2 linked regions of the Struthio camelus genome follow. Each later gene encodes a partner of the first gene's protein in a complex. Links are inferred from orthologs where the notes say so. Each region holds a gene or a part of one and is shown in the gene's direction. Other genes may lie near its edges. The genes, in order: GPSM2 and NUMA1.

Region 1 (8,102 bases):
TTCAGTTAGAATTAATGAAATATTATGAAGGTCATATTGCACTTAAAAAAAAACCAAAAAACAAAAAACTATTTATTTGAAGTAACGTGCTATCTAAAAGTATCATGCTTTTACAAATACTAGGTGACTACAACCACACTGAGGTTAATGAGATTTGCATCCCTAAAACACAGAGACTAACGCAGGCTTTAAATGACAAAACTTGCTAAGTTACCTCACCAAGAGAATAGGATGAATGGGCAGATTCATAAGGAGTAAGCAAAGGAGACAAGCTGCATTTGCTGTTATCATCCTGCTCGTGGATGTCTTCAAGCAGCGTGCCAAGTCTAAATATTTCCCCTTCCACCTTTCTAAACACAATTGCAAAGTTAGTGAAACCTTTGTAAAATGGTGTTTTATTTCTTATTGGGGAAACGATATTGGGTATTGCAATAAAGAATCCATAAGATAGATAAATTCATAGATTTCACTGAGTTCACTTAAATACTTGAATTAATTGGTTAAATATTGCAGTTATAAGTAGGACACACAAAGCCTGTGATCAGTTTTGGCTAAATCACTTCTGGCTTACCATATATAACATAAGATAATGTTTTCGTTTCTGAAAAGTGTTGTAAGGACAACTGACTTAACGGTTGCAAGATACTCGGAAAATATTGAGAATATGTTGAAGTACTACTTAGTACTTATTTTCTAACCTTTCAGGATCAAACTTTCCAATGTTGATGGACTTGTCCTTGTAGTTCTGCAGCTGTAAATTACGGTGCTCTTCTCTAGCAGTTAAATAATTCTGTTCCAGGGCATCAAGGCGTCTTTTCAACTGACTTAACACCTTCACCAATAAGAAATAACTCAACAGTAAATGAAATTATGATGTAGCAAGCTATACTGATAGCTACTTATGCTATGTAAGCCAGATTGTATTTGCAGTGATGTTAAGAATTTCGCTATTGATCCGAATTGGAACAGGACTGCATCGTGTACGTCCGCTAAGTAACCTGTGCTGCTATTTTATGCACAACTAAAATGTGAAACCGTCACTTCTGGACTGACATCCTACATGTCAAAATTCATAATTTTTATGGCCATTTAAGGCCTTTCACAAACAGTTTTGAGTTGTAATCCTTAAAGCAGATTTAAGAATTCAGCCCCCTACTGAACACCTTCATTTCTGCTTTGATGCTCATAATTTCCATCTGAGATTGGGGGGAGGGGGGGGTGAGTATCTTGCCATAGATTCCTAAGACTATAGCCATTTAAAGCTCATTTCAGATGACTGAGAACGTATAAATGGATTTACCAGGTATTTGTCTTGTAAAAGGAATGTCTCTTGGGTCATATGTTTAGAGAAGTCCTCTACCTTGAAGAGAAAATTTGAGATTTTTATTTGGGATTTTTAAAGTGAATATGCCAAATGAATATTAAATTTGAGCATCAGTGCTAAGTATATATTAAAGCATCACTGTTCATTACTTCCATTTGCAGTTGATCTGTTTGTTCCTTTAGTATTTGAGTCATCTTTTCTCCTTGTGTTAGTTCTAGAAGTAAACTGGAAGGATTTAGGCAGTGTGCTTCTACTGTACCAGCTGATGGTAATGTTGATACTGTTGCCCCACACTGTAATCCTGCAAAACACAAGAGAAGAAGATGAATGAGTTGGAACGGTTTCTGCCCAAACTGTTTTACATAAAATATAATAAAAGTTATGTCAAATTACATGAAAAAAATCATCATTTGCATAGTCACTATAACTTTTATTTACCTGCTTCAGACAAAGCAAGCATAGGTTGTATAGGAAAAGGAGGGTGTAATGCAAAAACTTCAGAGGATGTCTCAGCGCCTCCTGAGTAAATGGCAAAACTTGGATTTGGAAAATCTGACTGAGGAAGCATCTGTTAAAATATGAAAACTTTGTTTATAGAAACGCTGTTTAGAAACACGTTGTGGATGCTAACTAGAAGAACTTATGAACAGCTCAAAACGCACAGGACAAGTTATCAGTAAAATGAAATATGTTTCTTGTAACTACCTCCTATAGTTTGCTGTATTTATATTTATAATTTGACAAATGTTCAGTGTCTCGTTGTATAGATATTTTGTGGAAATTAGAGGATTTGCGTAAATGGGAGGAACAAGGTGAAGATAGCAAAATAGTTTGGGTAAATATTCATAATCTTAGAGATAAAAGAGAACGAATTTAGGAAGACTGCTGTTTTGAGAGATTTACCTTAGGATTAAGTCTCAAATAATCGGTATGATTCTGGGCATCAGCATGCTGTGTCAGCATCTTGTGTACAGCCAGGAAATAACAGAGAAAACTGTTAAACATTGTTACATCTCAAATAATTTTACTAAGATACAAATCTAGGAAAGGAGTTACACATCTGTAACAGCTCTGTGAATGAACTCCATGGCAGGGCATGAAATTGAAAAATGATGATCTAATTGCTACCATAATAAAGACATTTTAAAACAGTAAAACAAATCCTTCAGAAAGATTTGGAATTGGCCAATCAAATACCAGCATAAGGAGTTGAAAAGTGTTAAGATGGGGGGGGGGGGGGGGGGAGTCTTTAACATATATATAGGCACTCTGTGTGTGTGTGTGTATATATGTATTTTTTTTTTTAAGGAAAAAGTACTTTTGGTGGATTTGAATGTTTGCTTATAATACTAGAAATGAGTGTATCAATGAAAAATGAAATAGTTTGTAGTGAATTTTGTAATAATTTGATGGGATGCTTTGTAATAACAAATAATACTGCAGAACATTGTTAAATATTTGTTAATGGAAGTTGCATAGAAATCCTGTCCTACAAAACTTTACTCATGAAAGCAATTTCTAACTGAATTGACGTGCTCACTGCTGCCTATGGTTTTCCTGCGTGAACTAGTTCTGTTAGATTTTGTTGGGCAGAGAATACTTTCTTGTGCTAACATCACTCTACAGATACTACAAGTTTCTTAAATGACCTTATTTACCTCCAGCTGTTGCAACAGTTCTGGAACACTCATTTCTTCTTGATTCTCTACTTCAACAGAATCAAAGTAGTTCCTGTTTTCTACAATGTCATTTGCAATTACTGATTTACTTGGCAAAATAGGAAAGGTTTTTGTCCTATCAGTGACAGGAGCTGATTTATTGTTGTCATTTCTTTTTGGTACTTTAACTTCTGAAGCAACTTTAGAGAAATCAGTAAGGCAATAATGAACTTGACCTTGGCCAAATTTGAGCTCGTGAGATGAACCTGTTCTCTTAAATGGATCTTTTTGTTGTTCTTTTTTAGTGTTTTGAAAGGTGTGTGTATCTTCATTCTCACTAATTAATGGTGAACTTTCTTGTACACACCCACACTCAATAGTAGCAGAAATAGATCTCTTTGAAACAAACTTATTTTCATTTAGCAAAGTTTGATCTCTCTCACCAGTGTTTATTTCCTCATGCTTATTTAAGTGATACCCTTCAAAGTTAGTTGCCCGTTGTTCATGAGATAAAGGGCACTTGGCAAGTTCTGAAGTCTCAGGTTTATTCAGAGGTTCATCAATACTTTCAGTAAAGGATATCTCTGGTATAGTCTCGCCTTCAATTAGCTGGCATGTGGTTATTAACTCTCCCTTAGGAAAATGACGCAAAAGGACATCAGACATTTTTGAGTGAGTGAGGTGTTGCTTCCTATCTGGTCTACTAAAGCAAACAGGTAATTCTTTCTTAAAAGAAGCTTCACTGACAGGCATTTCAACTGAAATTCCAGTTGTTTCTGTGGCACATGTATGGTAATTGAAAACTTCTCCAGGTTGTGGATGAGTTTCATAATTTGCTGCTGCTTTTATATTTTTGTTATCTTCAGAACAGGATATGTTTGAAAAAATATCAGAAATATGTTTTAAACAAGTACAGTCACTCAAATTATCTGAATAATTACTGTAGTGACAGGTTTTTCCTAGATCTCCGTCATAAGGTAAGTCTTCATTTTCCTCATCAGTCGTGTCTGCGATACAGTTTAACTCTTCTAAAAATGAACTAATCATTTGTTTTTTCATCCAGTCTGATGGTTTGCCCTCTTTCATAGTCTCCATATCCTGATTACTTAGTGCATGAATGTCATTGCTTCTCAGTTTTGAGGGAGAGCTTTTTTTGCCTGGATCAAAATCTGTAAGGTATTGAGTAATAGTTATTTTAAATTTAAATACAGTTGAGAATAGGATCTACTTATTTATATCTTGGACCTACCGCAGTTTTTTTGCTACTCAAATTTACAGAGCCGCCCTCCTGACATGGATGTTTTCTTTTCACGTTTACACTGGTGGAAATCGGGATTAGCCAGGGAGGAAACAAGAGTGACATAAAACAACAGAAGCATCAGGGAAAGGAAAATCAGGCTTTTACTGCCAGGTAATTTGTCCTTGCTCACTAATCCCCCCGTACTCTTAGAGACCGAAAACTTGGTAACGGCGGCAAGAGCAGCATAGAAAACCTGCAGTACAACTTCGGGGGGGCGGGGGGAGAAAGTGGCGTGTCATTAACCATAGCCTCTCGCGTCTCGCTTCACGGTATGAAAGGTTTCCTTGGCCTCCGCCCCCCAGGGGAAAAAGCACCTCTCTCTTCTTGTCCGCCTTGATTCCTACCCCCGCCCCTCTCATCAGCTAAAATGCTGTGCGTTATTTTAGTATGATGCTAATCCCCCGTCGTTTTAGCCCGGCAGCACGCTCTGTTTCCCCTGACGCGCCCTCGGCCCCTCCTAAGGCGGCTGCTTCCCGGGCAGGGGCAGCGCAGGGCCGCGTTACCTTGCTCGTGCTCCCTGCCGCTCCGCCGCCTCTCCCCAAGCGGCCCCCAACCCGGCAGCTCCCCTCCGCCGACCCTGCCAGCTTGGAAATACGCGGCCGAGCCGGGCGGGGCGGGGCGGGGCGGGGCGGCCGCTGGCGGTGTCCCCTTACCCGCCGGGTAACCCGAGCGCCCTCGCTCCGCCCACCTGGCGGGCCCCGCCCCCGGGGCAGGGCCCCAACCGCCGCCCCCGCCCTCTCCCTATTGGCTCGTGTGAACGATGCGGGTTTCCGGGGGGGCGGGGCGGGGGCGCGCGCAGGCCGCTGCGGCCCGCGTGGGAGAGCCGTTGGCCGCTGCCGCCCGTGGATTGGTGGGTTCGAAGCGCGGCTGCGCGTGGGCGGGCGCCGCCGTTGGCAGCGCCGCGGCCCGGCCCGGCCCGGCCCGGCCTGCCCCGCCCCGCGCTGCCCCAGCTGTGGCGGTCGCTCTGGAAACTGCTCCGGCACCGGGGGCGGGCGGACCCCCGGCCCCGAGGTGAGGCGCGGCCGCGGTGGCGAGGCAGGCGGCGGTTGGGGTGGGGCCGCGTCGCGGGCGCAGCGGGGGCCGTTGGATCGCGGTAGGGGGCCGCGGGGGGGCCGGCCCGCACCGCCCCGCACCTGCTGGCGGCGGTGAGGCAGCTGGCGAGCGCGGCCCCGGCGGCGGGGCGAGCGCCTCTGGTCGCCCGCACTGCGGCGGCCTTCCCCGCGGAGCAGCTGCTGAGCGGCCTGAGTTGTTGGTGGATGAACTCGCCGTATAACCAGGCTTGAAAAGCTGCCGGTCGGAACCTGAAGTCCGGCGTCTTTGACTTTAAGTGATCCTTCTTTTGGGTGTCTTGTACAGTTGCTAAACCTCGAAGGTTACTGCAGCCTTTTAAAATCCAGAATGATGAAATGGGAGCTCCAGTATAGCGACCTCACTTTTCTGCGAACAGAAACAGCATACAGCTATCAGACCAGCCTTTGTTGATTGTAAATAATCCAGAGATTGTTCTTGTTTCTCCAAAGCGAGTTGGTAGCAAAAAGATATTGTATCAGATATTTCTGATCGTTGTGCTGTGTTGTGTTTAGGAAGATAAGTAAGGATAATAAATAGATAAAAATTTAGCGGGAGATATGAAATGGGGTATTAGTGTGGCAGAAAATGGGGGCCTACAAACATACTATGAAGAACAAAGTGTATGGGGAACAATTCTAAACCCTAAGAATTTTAATTGGATATTCTGTTATGGCATATCTAAACCCAAATTGTACCCAGTGTGTCTTGCCTTGTCTTGCTTGACCTAGGGAACTACCGTTTTTTGCTAGTCTGTGCTGGTTCCTTTCCCCCTCCTCTTTTGCTTTTTAAAAGTTTTTAAAGAGGAGAGCGTATAGCTAATCAGAAGTTCTTATTTATCCCTTTATTGACCTAATAGCGAAGACACAAATTATTCCCCACCTCGAACTTGCTGCCCTCCCCCTTTAAAGCCTCTCTAAGCCTAATGTGCTGTTCCTGTTAGATTCTCGCCAGCAGGCTGCATAGTGCATGCATCCTGGGTTGCCATGGAGAGCTGTGCGACCAACTCAGAATTTAGAAGGACGTGCTGATCCTTGCATCGCAAAAAGACCAGTTGAGCGAGTGCATGCTCTGCTTGAACTTAGCATGAAAACTTCATACTTTTCTTTCGTTATAAGTCATAATTTTATTAGAGCTGAAAACATCAGCAAAAATGTTATCTTCACAATGCAGTCCTCGTAAATTCTTTGCTTGTGGATCTTACTTGTGTGTTTAAACTTCTGCGTGCATGTGCCATTGCTCCTTCATACCAGTTCTGTCGATGGTTACCCAAACTGGAAGGACTTTATATAAAGCTTGCACAGAAAATATTTGACACTGAAGTCAGCTTCATAAGACTAGAAGAGACCTATGTAAGTCAAGTCTATTGCTTTCACAGTTTATTTGCCCTTGTAACTCTTTCAGGCATCTTAAAACTATTTAGGACTGTATGCTTCTGCTGCTGGAGATTTACTTCACAATTTGTTGGTTAGAAGGTCAGACTAATTTTTGAAAAGGTATTCATGGCCATCTTTGTTCCTGTGCTGTCATTGTCTCTTGGCCTAGATGGTCCTCTTTCATCTTTTAATACAATTTTTTTTTTTTTTAGTTGAGGCATTTAGAGACGACAGTTCTTTCCTCTTTTAGACTTTCTTTTTGGTAATTAGCAGGGCAGGCCAGCCTCTCCTCCTAAGAATGCTGAGTAAAAGCGTTGCCAAAAATTGGAAAACCTGTTTATTTTGGCTTATTGTAGAGGAGAACGGTAAAATTCTAAAAATGAGTCTCACTTCTTATACCTTGTCAGGGTGGTAATTTCTTGTTATTTTGCTAGAATTGTTTCAAGTGTCAGTTCTGGGCCTTTTCTCGTTAACTGACGGCAACAGACCCATTTTTCTAAACTGATATTCCTCAGATCCCCCTGTGCACTATGATTTGGAGAGCATCTCTGCTCATCGGTAGTTAGGAAAAGGTATATTAAGAAACAGGTGTTTTTCTAAAAACTAATGCTACCATCAGTAGGTTTAATTATTGAACGTATGGAGGAGTTTTTCGTGTTTTACATAGTTTATTGGGATTCTTGTGTTTTATTAAAACAAGTGTTTTTAGTTTCTCCTAGTTTTTTTGTAAGAGTTACACAGTCTATTTTACTTTCCTCAATAGTTACTCATGCCCAGATCTGATAACTATAGTCTTGTTTTTAGTTGTCTTTGGTGTTAACATCTTAATGAATTTATTTTCATTTAAGGAGTCAGTATTGATCACATGACTTCCGGAAAGATTAACATCTTATGGCTATCGCTGTTTGTGTGAATGAAAGAACAGAGAGAGATCAGGTGAAGAAAAAAACCCGTTGACTTTTCTTTAGGCATTTAATAGCAGTTATAAAAATGCATCCCCCCCACGCCCCCAAAAAAGAAAAGAGTATGGTGGACCTACAAAGTTATGGTAGACCTACAAAATTAGGAATGTAATGTACAGAAAAACAGGAATGTAAAAATTGGTAAGAGATGGTCTGAAACACATGTAGTACCTGTAAAATAATCCCAACAGATAATTAATGTCAAGTTGCCTCCTAGGACTCAAATCTGGTAGTGTTTGGAGAACGTGGCTCTTGTTCATATAATAAAACTTGTGCGTTATATAAACCTTCTACCAATACGGAGGAAAAACTTGTATGCAGCTGAATTACAGGGAAAATGCTTATGGTCTACCACAAAGGCTCTTAAAATCTTCGCAATTTCTTTTCTGTTTCTGCTTACTTACGTTTTCTCTC
Region 2 (7,615 bases), on another chromosome or scaffold:
CCGGTGCGGGCAAGGGGGGGGGGGTTCGAAAGGAGTCCTGGTTTTTCGTCCGTCGCGTCCGGTGGAGCGGGAGATGCTCCGCTGGGCTGCACGCCTTGCGCCCTGTGCGCTCCGCTCTCGGCCCCTGAGCAGCACGGGCGGCAGGAGCCACCCGGGTCCCGTTGTGCGGGCCCGGGGAGGGGAGGGGAGGACCCGGGATGGCTGCGATAACGGGTGCAACGGGCGCCTGGCGGCCTGCGCGCTCCGGTTGCTCCCTTGCCCCCGAGGCGCCACGGTTCTCGTGCGCCTTCCCCAGCCGGTGGCGGCCGCCGCTGCTCTCCCCCCCCGTCCCCGAGCCGCCGCCGCTGCGTGCCCCAAAGCGCCTCGCGGACGATGCTGCAGGACGAGTCCGGTTCGCAGGCGTTGTTTCCTTAACCCCGGGCGGTGCCGCCGGGGTGAGGGGGGGCTTTATTTATGAGGAAGGGGAGGGAGCGGGAGGAGGGCCGGCGCGGGGTCCGGGGGCGAAGCCAGCCCCGGAAGGGCGCCCGAGGCCGAGCCGCTCCCCGCCAGCCTCCTGCTTCGCGGCCCTGCCAGCAGCAGCAGCAGCAGCCGCCCCGGTGGGTGCGCGGGGCTGGGGGGGGGGGGCTCCAGCTCGGGAGCTGCCCCCCGCCGCCGCCGCCTTCCCGGCCGCCTTGGGCTTGGCCTGCATGCGCTTCCAGGCGGCGGCGGTGGAGCGGTCCTGCTTGGTGACGCCGCTGAAGTCGAAGGACTTGAGCTGGGGCAGCACGGAGATGACGTAGCTCCTGCCGGGGCGCGGAGGCGGCGGTCGGGGGGGGGGGGACAGGCGCTGAGACCCCCCCCCCCCCCCAAAAAAGGGAGGTGGGGCAGGGGAGAGGCGGGGGGGGGCGAGCAGCATACCTGTAGCCCGGCTGCTCCTCGACGGGGTTGCCGTGCAGGGTGAGGCGGCGCAGGCGCGGCAGGGCGGCCAGCTTGTCCACCTCGGCCAGGCTGCGGATGCCGTTGGCGTGCAGGTGGAGGCTGCGCAGGTGGCGGTAGGCGGTCAGCACCTGCGGGCGCCCGCCGGGCCGTGAGCAGCCGCCCCGAGGCGCGGGGAGCCCCCCCTACCCCCCCCCCAAACCCCAGCGCCCTACCGGGTCGATGGTGGGCAGCGCGTTGAAGGAGAGGTCGAGCCAGGAGAGCCGCTCGGGGGCCTCGAGGAGCCGCTCGAGGGCGGGCGCCAGGCCGGCCAGGCTGCCCAGCGCGTTGTTGTTGAGGCGCAGGGCGCCGGCAAGCAGGCGGCCGCCGGCCGAGCGCCCCGCCGCCCGCCCCGCCGCCCCGGCCCGCGGCTCCTGCGCCAGCAGCTCTGGGCGCGCGGGGTGGGGGGGGGGGTGAGAGGTGCCCGCCGGGGGGCTCCCCCCCCCCCCCACCACCACCCCTTTTCTGCCCCCGGGGTCCCACCTGGGATGGAGGTGGCGCCGCGGAAGGAGAAGTCGAGGGGGGGCGCCAGGGCCGGGCACCGCGCCATGGGGCCGAGGCCGGCGGCGGAGGCGGCCCCCCTGCGCGGGGCGGCGCTTGTCGGGGTGCTGTCCCCCGCCCCGACCCCACGCCTGTCCTCCTGCCCCCGCGGATGTCCCCACCCGTGTCCCCAGCCCCCCCCCTCCACACACACACACCGCGGGCGTCCCCACGCATGTGTCTGGCTGCCACGGGCGTCCTCCTGGCCCCCACGGGCGTCCCCACGCGTGTCCTCCTGCCCCCACGCGTGTCCTCCTGCCCCCATGTGTCCCTACGCACACCCCCACGGGCGTCCCCACGCGTGTCCTCCTGCCCCCACGCGTGTCCTCCTGCCCCCATGTGTCCCTACGCACACCCCCACGGGCGTCCCCACGCGTGTCCTCCTGCCCCCATGTGTCCCTACGCACACCCCCACGGGCGTCCCCACGCGTGTCCTCCTGCCCCCACGCGTGTCCTCCTGCCCCCATGTGTCCCTACGCACACCCCCACGGGCGTCCCCACGCGTGTCCTCCTGCCCCCATGTGTTCCTACGCACACCCCCACGGGCGTCCCCACGCGTGTCCTCCTGCCCCCACGCGTGTCCTCCTGCCCCCATGTGTCCCTACGCACACCCCCACGGGCGTCCCCACGCGTGTCCTCCTGCCCCCACGCGTGTCCTCCTGCCCCCATGTGTCCCTACGCACACCCCCACGGGCGTCCCCATGCGTGTCCTCCTGCCCCCACGCGTGTCCTCCTGCCCCCATGTGTCCCTACGCACACCCCCACGGGCGTCCCCACGCGTGTCCTCCTGCCCCCATGTGTCCCTACGCACACCCCCACGGGCGTCCCCACGCGTGTCCTCCTGCCCCCATGTGTTCCTACGCACACCCCCACGGGCGTCCCCACGCGTGTCCTCCTGCCCCCACGCGTGTCCTCCTGCCCCCATGTGTTCCTACGCACACCCCCACGGGCGTCCCCACGCGTGTCCTCCTGCCCCCACGCGTGTCCTCCTGCCCCCATGTGTTCCTACGCACACCCCCACGGGCGTCCCCACGCGTGTCCTCCTGCCCCCACGTGTGTCCTCCTGCCCCCATGTGTCCCTACGCACACCCCCACGGGCGTCCCCACGCGTGTCCTCCTGCCCCCATGTGTCCCTACGCACACCCCCACGGGCGTCCCCACGCGTGTCCTCCTGCCCCCATGTGTCCCTACGCACACCCCCACGGGCGTCCCCACGCGTGTCCTCCTGCCCCCACGCGTGTCCTCCTGCCCCCATGTGTCCCTACGCACACCCCCACGGGCGTCCCCACGCGTGTCCTCCTGCCCCCATGTGTCCCTACGCACACCCCCACGGGCGTCCCCACGCGTGTCCTCCTGCCCCCACGCGTGTCCTCCTGCCCCCATGTGTCCCTACGCACACCCCCACGGGCGTCCCCACGCGTGTCCTCCTGCCCCCACGCGTGTCCTCCTGCCCCCATGTGTCCCTACGCACACCCACACGGGCATCCCCACGCGTGTCCTCCTGCCCCCACGTGTCCCCACGTGTCCCCGGCCCCCATGCACACCCCCTCGGGCGTCCCCACGCGTGTCCTCCTGCCCTCATGTGTCCCCACACGTGTCCCTGGCCCTCGCGCACACCCCCATGGGCATCCTCACCCCTCACGGGTGTCCCCACACATGTCCTCCTGCCCCCATATGTCCCCATATGTCCCCAGCCCCTGTGCACATCCCCACAGCAGTGCTCCTGCCCCCCACGGGCATCCCCTCACACGTCTTCCTGCCCCCATGTGTCCCCATAGGTGTCTCTGGCCCCCGCACAAACCCCCACATGTGTCCTCCTGCCCCAGTGTGTCCCCACATGTGTCCCCAGCCCCCGTGCACACCCTCATGGGTGTCCCCACCCCCCACGGGTGTCCCCACGCGTGTCCCCCTGCCCCCATGTGTCCTCACACGTGTCACCAGCCCCCGTGCACATCTCCACAGCTGTGCTCCTGCCCCCCACGGGTATCTCCACATGTGTCCTCCTGCCCCAGTGTGTCCCCACATGTGTCCCCAGCCCCCGCGCACACCCTCATGGGTGTCCCCACACCCCACGCGTGTCCCCACACGTGTCCCCCTGCCCCCATGTGTCCTCACACGTGTCCCTGGCCCCCCACGGGCATCCTCAAGGCCATGCACCAACCCCCCACGGGGCATCCCCACACATGTCCTCCTGCCCCCATATGTCCTCACATGCATCCCCATGGGCATCCGCCTGTCCCCACGGGAGTGCCCACGCGTGTCCTCCTGCCCCACACGCACGTGCCCGTGGGTATCGTCCTGCTCCCACACGCAGCCCCACGGCGAGTCCCCCAGCCGCCGCCCATGTCCTCCTGCCCCCACAGGCATCCCCATGCCTGTCCCTCTGCTCCCACCCGCACCCACTCGCGTCCCCCTGCCCCGGCCCACCTCCCCACACGTCCCCATGCCTGCCTCCCCACATCCTCCTGCGCCAGACACCCCCCCCACGTCCCCATATGTGTTCTCGTCCCCACACAGCCCCACTCGAGCCCCATTCTCCGCGCGTGGGGCCACTCGCATGTCTCCCGTCACCAGTGCCCTGGCTCCCACGCGTATCCCTTACCCACACAGGATCCTAGGTGCGTCCTTCCCCGCGTGGGGCATCAGACATCTCCCCCCTCCTCCTGTACAACGCCCCACACCCCGCTCCTCCCCACAGGGCCCCACGCGTGTCCCCTAACCGCCCGCGCGGCCCCACGGGCGCCCCGCTCACCACCCCCCGCGCGCCGCCGTCGCCACGGCAACCAGCCCCTCGCCCCGCCCCGCCCCGCGCGGGGCACGCCGGGACGAGCGCTCGCCCCGCTGGGATTGGTAGTTCCCCGCCCTCCGCCGCCTCGCAACCTCACGTGACGTAAGGCCACGCTGACGTATCCTGGTCGGCAGCCAATAGGCAGGGGGCAGGGGGCCGGCGCAGCCATTTGAATCGGGCAGGAGGCCGCGTCGGCTGCTTTGCGCCGCGGGGCGGGGGGTTCCGGCGGGGGCCCCGCGGCTACAGTGAATACGGTAGGGCCTGAGGGGGGGGCCTAGGGCCTGGGGGGGGAAGGGGGACCTGGAGGGGGGGAGCAGAGGGACAGCGAGGTGGGGGGGGGAAGGGGGACGTGGAGGGGGGGGAGCAGAGGGACAGCGAGGTGGGGGGGGGAAGGGGGACGTGGAGGGGGGGGAGCAGAGGGACAGCGAGGTGGGGGGGGGAAGGGGGACCTGGGGGGGGGGGAGCAGAGGGACAGCGAGGTGGGGGGGGAAGGGGGACCTGGGGGGGGGGGAGCAGAGGGACAGCGAGGTGGGGGGGGAAGGGGGACCTGGGGGGGGGGGAGCAGAGGGACAGCGAGGTGGGGGGGGAAGGGGGACCTGGGGGGGGGGAGCAGAGGGACAGCGAGGTGGGGGGGGAAGGGGGACCGGGGGGGGGGGAGCAGAGGGACAGCGAGGTGGGGGGGGGAATGGGGACCGGGGGGGGGGGAGCAGAGGGACAGCGAGGTGGGGGGGGAAGGGGGATGTGGAGGGGGGGGGAGCAGAGGGACAGCGAGGTGGGGGGGGAAGGGGGACGTGGAGGGGGGGGAGCAGAGGGACAGCGAGGTGGGGGGGGGAAGGGGGACCTGGAGGGGGGGGAGCAGAGGGACAGCGAGGTGGGGGGGGGAAGGGGGGGACCTGGAGGGGGGGGAGCAGAGGGACAGCGAGGTGGGGGGGGGAAGGGGGACCTGGAGGGGGGGGGAGCAGAGGGACAGCGAGGTGGGGGGGGGAAGGGGGGGACCTGGAGGGGGGGGAGCAGAGGGACAGTGAGGTGGGGGGGGGAAGGGGGACCTGGAGGGGGGGAGCAGAGGGACAGTGAGGTGGGGGGGGGAGGGGGACCTGGGGGGGGGAGCAGAGGGACAGCGAGGTGGGGGGGGAAGGGGGACTTGGAGGGGGGGGAGCAGAGGGATAGCGAGGTGGGGGGGGGAACGGGGACCTGGAGGGGGGGGAGCAGAGGGACAGCGAGGTGGGGGGGGGTATGGGGCCGCTGTGGGGAGCAGGGAACCTGGGAGGGACACAGTGACCTGGGGTGGGGGGACAGGATGCTTTAGGGGGGTGGTGACCCTTTGGGGACGACTGTGTGGGACCGTGACGCTGCAGGACACGGAGGTGGCCGGAGGGACCGTGATCTGGCGCCTCTCCCCCTCCCACGGCCGGGCAGGGGGACCAGACCTGCGCCAGACCTGCGAGCGCCTTGCGCTTCTCCCTCGGCGTAGGTGGGATTGCGAGGCAGGTATGTGCAAGATCCTTGTCTTTGCCGGGGATTTTCCAGGAAGCTTTGAGTGGGTTAGTCTGGAGACGGATCCAAAACCTTTGCTGCTTTTGAGATGAAGCTTGATAAAGTCGGCAGCAGGATTATGCTGTGGGTTCTTGCAGCAGGAGAGGACCAGGCTCCGTAATCATCATGTCTTCCCCCTTGTGTGCCAGCAAGGCTTTTGACACTGTCTCCCATCACATCCTCGTAGGTAAGCTCAGGAAGTGTGGGTTGGATGAGTGGACAGTGAGGTGGATAAGAAATTAGCTGGATGGCCGAGCTCAGAGGGTTGTGGTCAGTGTTGCGGAGTCTAGTTGGAGGCCTGTAGCCCAGTGGTGTCCCCCAGGGGTCAGTCCTGGGTCCAGTCTTGTTCAACATACTCATCAGTGACCTGGAGGAAGGGACAGAGTGCACCCTCTGCATAAGTTTGCTGATGATCCCAAAGTGGGAGGAGAGGCTAACACACCAGAAGACTGTGCTGCCATTCAGAGGGACGTGGACAGGCTGGAGAGCTGGGCGGAGAGGAACCTCCTCAAAGTTCAGCGGAGGCAAGAGCAGGGTCCTGTCCCTGGGGAGGAATAACCCCAGGCAGCAGGACAGGCTGGGGGCTGATCTGCTGGAAAGCAGCTCTGCCGAGAAGGGCCTGGGAGTCCTGGTGGACAACAAGGTGACCATGAGGCAGCAATGCGCCCTTGTGGCCAAGAAGACCAGTGGGATCCTGGGGTGCATTAGGCAGAGTGTTGCCCGCAGGTGGAGGGAGGTGATCCTGCCCCTCTCCTCAGCCCTGGGGAGGCCTCACCTGGAGTACTGGGTCCAGTTCTGGGCTCCCCAGTACAAGAGAGACATGGAGCTCCTGGAGAGAGTCCAGCGGAGGGCTACACAGATGATGAAGGGCCTGGAGCATCTCTGCTCTGAGGAAAGGCTGAGGGATCTGGGCCTGTTCAGCCTGGAGAAGAGAAGATTGAGAGGCGATCTCATAAATGTGTAGAAGTATGTGAAGGGAGGGTGTTGAGAGGATGGGGCCAGCCTCTTCTCCGTGGTGCCCAGTGACAGGGCAAGAAGCAACGGGCATAAACTGAAACACAGGAAGGTCCATCTGAACATGAAGCAAAACCTCTTCACTGTGAGGGTGACAGAGCACTGGAACAGGTTGCCCAGAGAGGTAGTGGAGTCTCCTTCGCTGGAGATATGCAAAACCCGCCCGGATGCGATGCTGGACAACGTGCTATAGGTGACCCTGGTGGAGCAGGGGGCTTGGACTAGATGATCTCCAGATATCCCTTCCAACCTCAACTGTTCTGTGATTCTGTGGTAGTTCACTGGCAAGCAGATGTCCACCACGTTTCTGGTTCTTTAGCTTTTTCAGGTTCTTTGCTATCTGCGCCAAAGTAGCACGCTTTACACAGGAAATTCCTTGGACTAGTTGCTAAGGCGGTGGTGGCATTAACACATTGGTGGTGTGGCTGCTGAACGAAGCAGTTCTGCTGTCCTCCTTGTGCCTGCAGGAGGACTTCTGAAGCTGCAGAGTAAACCGGATTGGGGAACTGGTTGAGCTGAGGCCTTTTTTGCTAGATCAGTTCGAAAAATAACTAGCCCTGTGTCTGGGTGGGGTTTGCTGAGCAGTCACATAAACGCTTGGTGGCAGGAGTCTGCCTTCAGTGGAGGAGCAAGGGCTTGCGTGTGCAGATTTGGATTTGGTAAGCTGCTGGCCAAAAGCTCCTTGGAGCTGGGTTTCCCCTTCTGCAGGGTGACCCATGCGTCACCCATGGCCTTATCTGTCCCCCCCCCCTTTTTTTTTTTTTTAATCAGGGCCTAAGCGAGATC

The links.
Region 2: the proteins of GPSM2 (region 1) and NUMA1 are in contact, whole or in part, in a crystal structure (PDB 6HC2), measured with the Homo sapiens proteins. The link is inferred for Struthio camelus from reciprocal best matches to the Homo sapiens genes GPSM2 and NUMA1. Residues at the interface, in NP_001307967.1 of Homo sapiens: Ala28, Leu29, Glu32, Cys35, Lys36, Phe47, Lys59, Thr60, Ser62, Ala63, Ile64, Ser66, Gln67, Asn70, Ala71, Phe73, Asn110, Lys113, Tyr146, His153, Lys157, Pro164, Gln165, Arg203, Gly206, Asn207, Asn210, Tyr213, Leu214, Arg228; in NP_006176.2 of Homo sapiens: Ser1901, Phe1902, Tyr1903, Met1904, Gly1905, Thr1906, Cys1907, Gln1908, Asp1909, Glu1910, Pro1911, Glu1912, Leu1914, Asp1916, Trp1917, Asn1918, Arg1919, Ile1920, Ala1921, Leu1923.

Annotation. Positions count from the first base shown.
Region 1 is NC_090949.1:13,299,687-13,307,788, reverse strand, and holds the start of GPSM2 (G-protein-signaling modulator 2), read left to right. Parts: upstream 1-5,055; 5' UTR 5,056-5,293; intron 5,294-6,388; exon of another isoform or gene 6,389-6,702; intron 6,703-8,102. Other genes in the region: protein AKNAD1, read right to left, coding at 215-350, 699-832, 1,301-1,360, 1,474-1,625, 1,763-1,892, 2,228-2,287, 2,983-4,077. UniProt on the Homo sapiens protein: Plays an important role in mitotic spindle pole organization via its interaction with NUMA1. Required for cortical dynein-dynactin complex recruitment during metaphase. Plays a role in metaphase spindle orientation.
Region 2 is NC_090942.1:224,085,760-224,093,374, forward strand, and holds the start of NUMA1 (nuclear mitotic apparatus protein 1), read left to right. Parts: upstream 1-4,451; 5' UTR 4,452-4,536; intron 4,537-5,636; exon of another isoform or gene 5,637-5,770; intron 5,771-7,615. Other genes in the region: LRRC51 (leucine-rich repeat-containing protein 51), read right to left, coding at 452-782, 898-1,046, 1,131-1,342, 1,438-1,535, 4,097-4,137. UniProt on the Homo sapiens protein: Microtubule (MT)-binding protein that plays a role in the formation and maintenance of the spindle poles and the alignement and the segregation of chromosomes during mitotic cell division.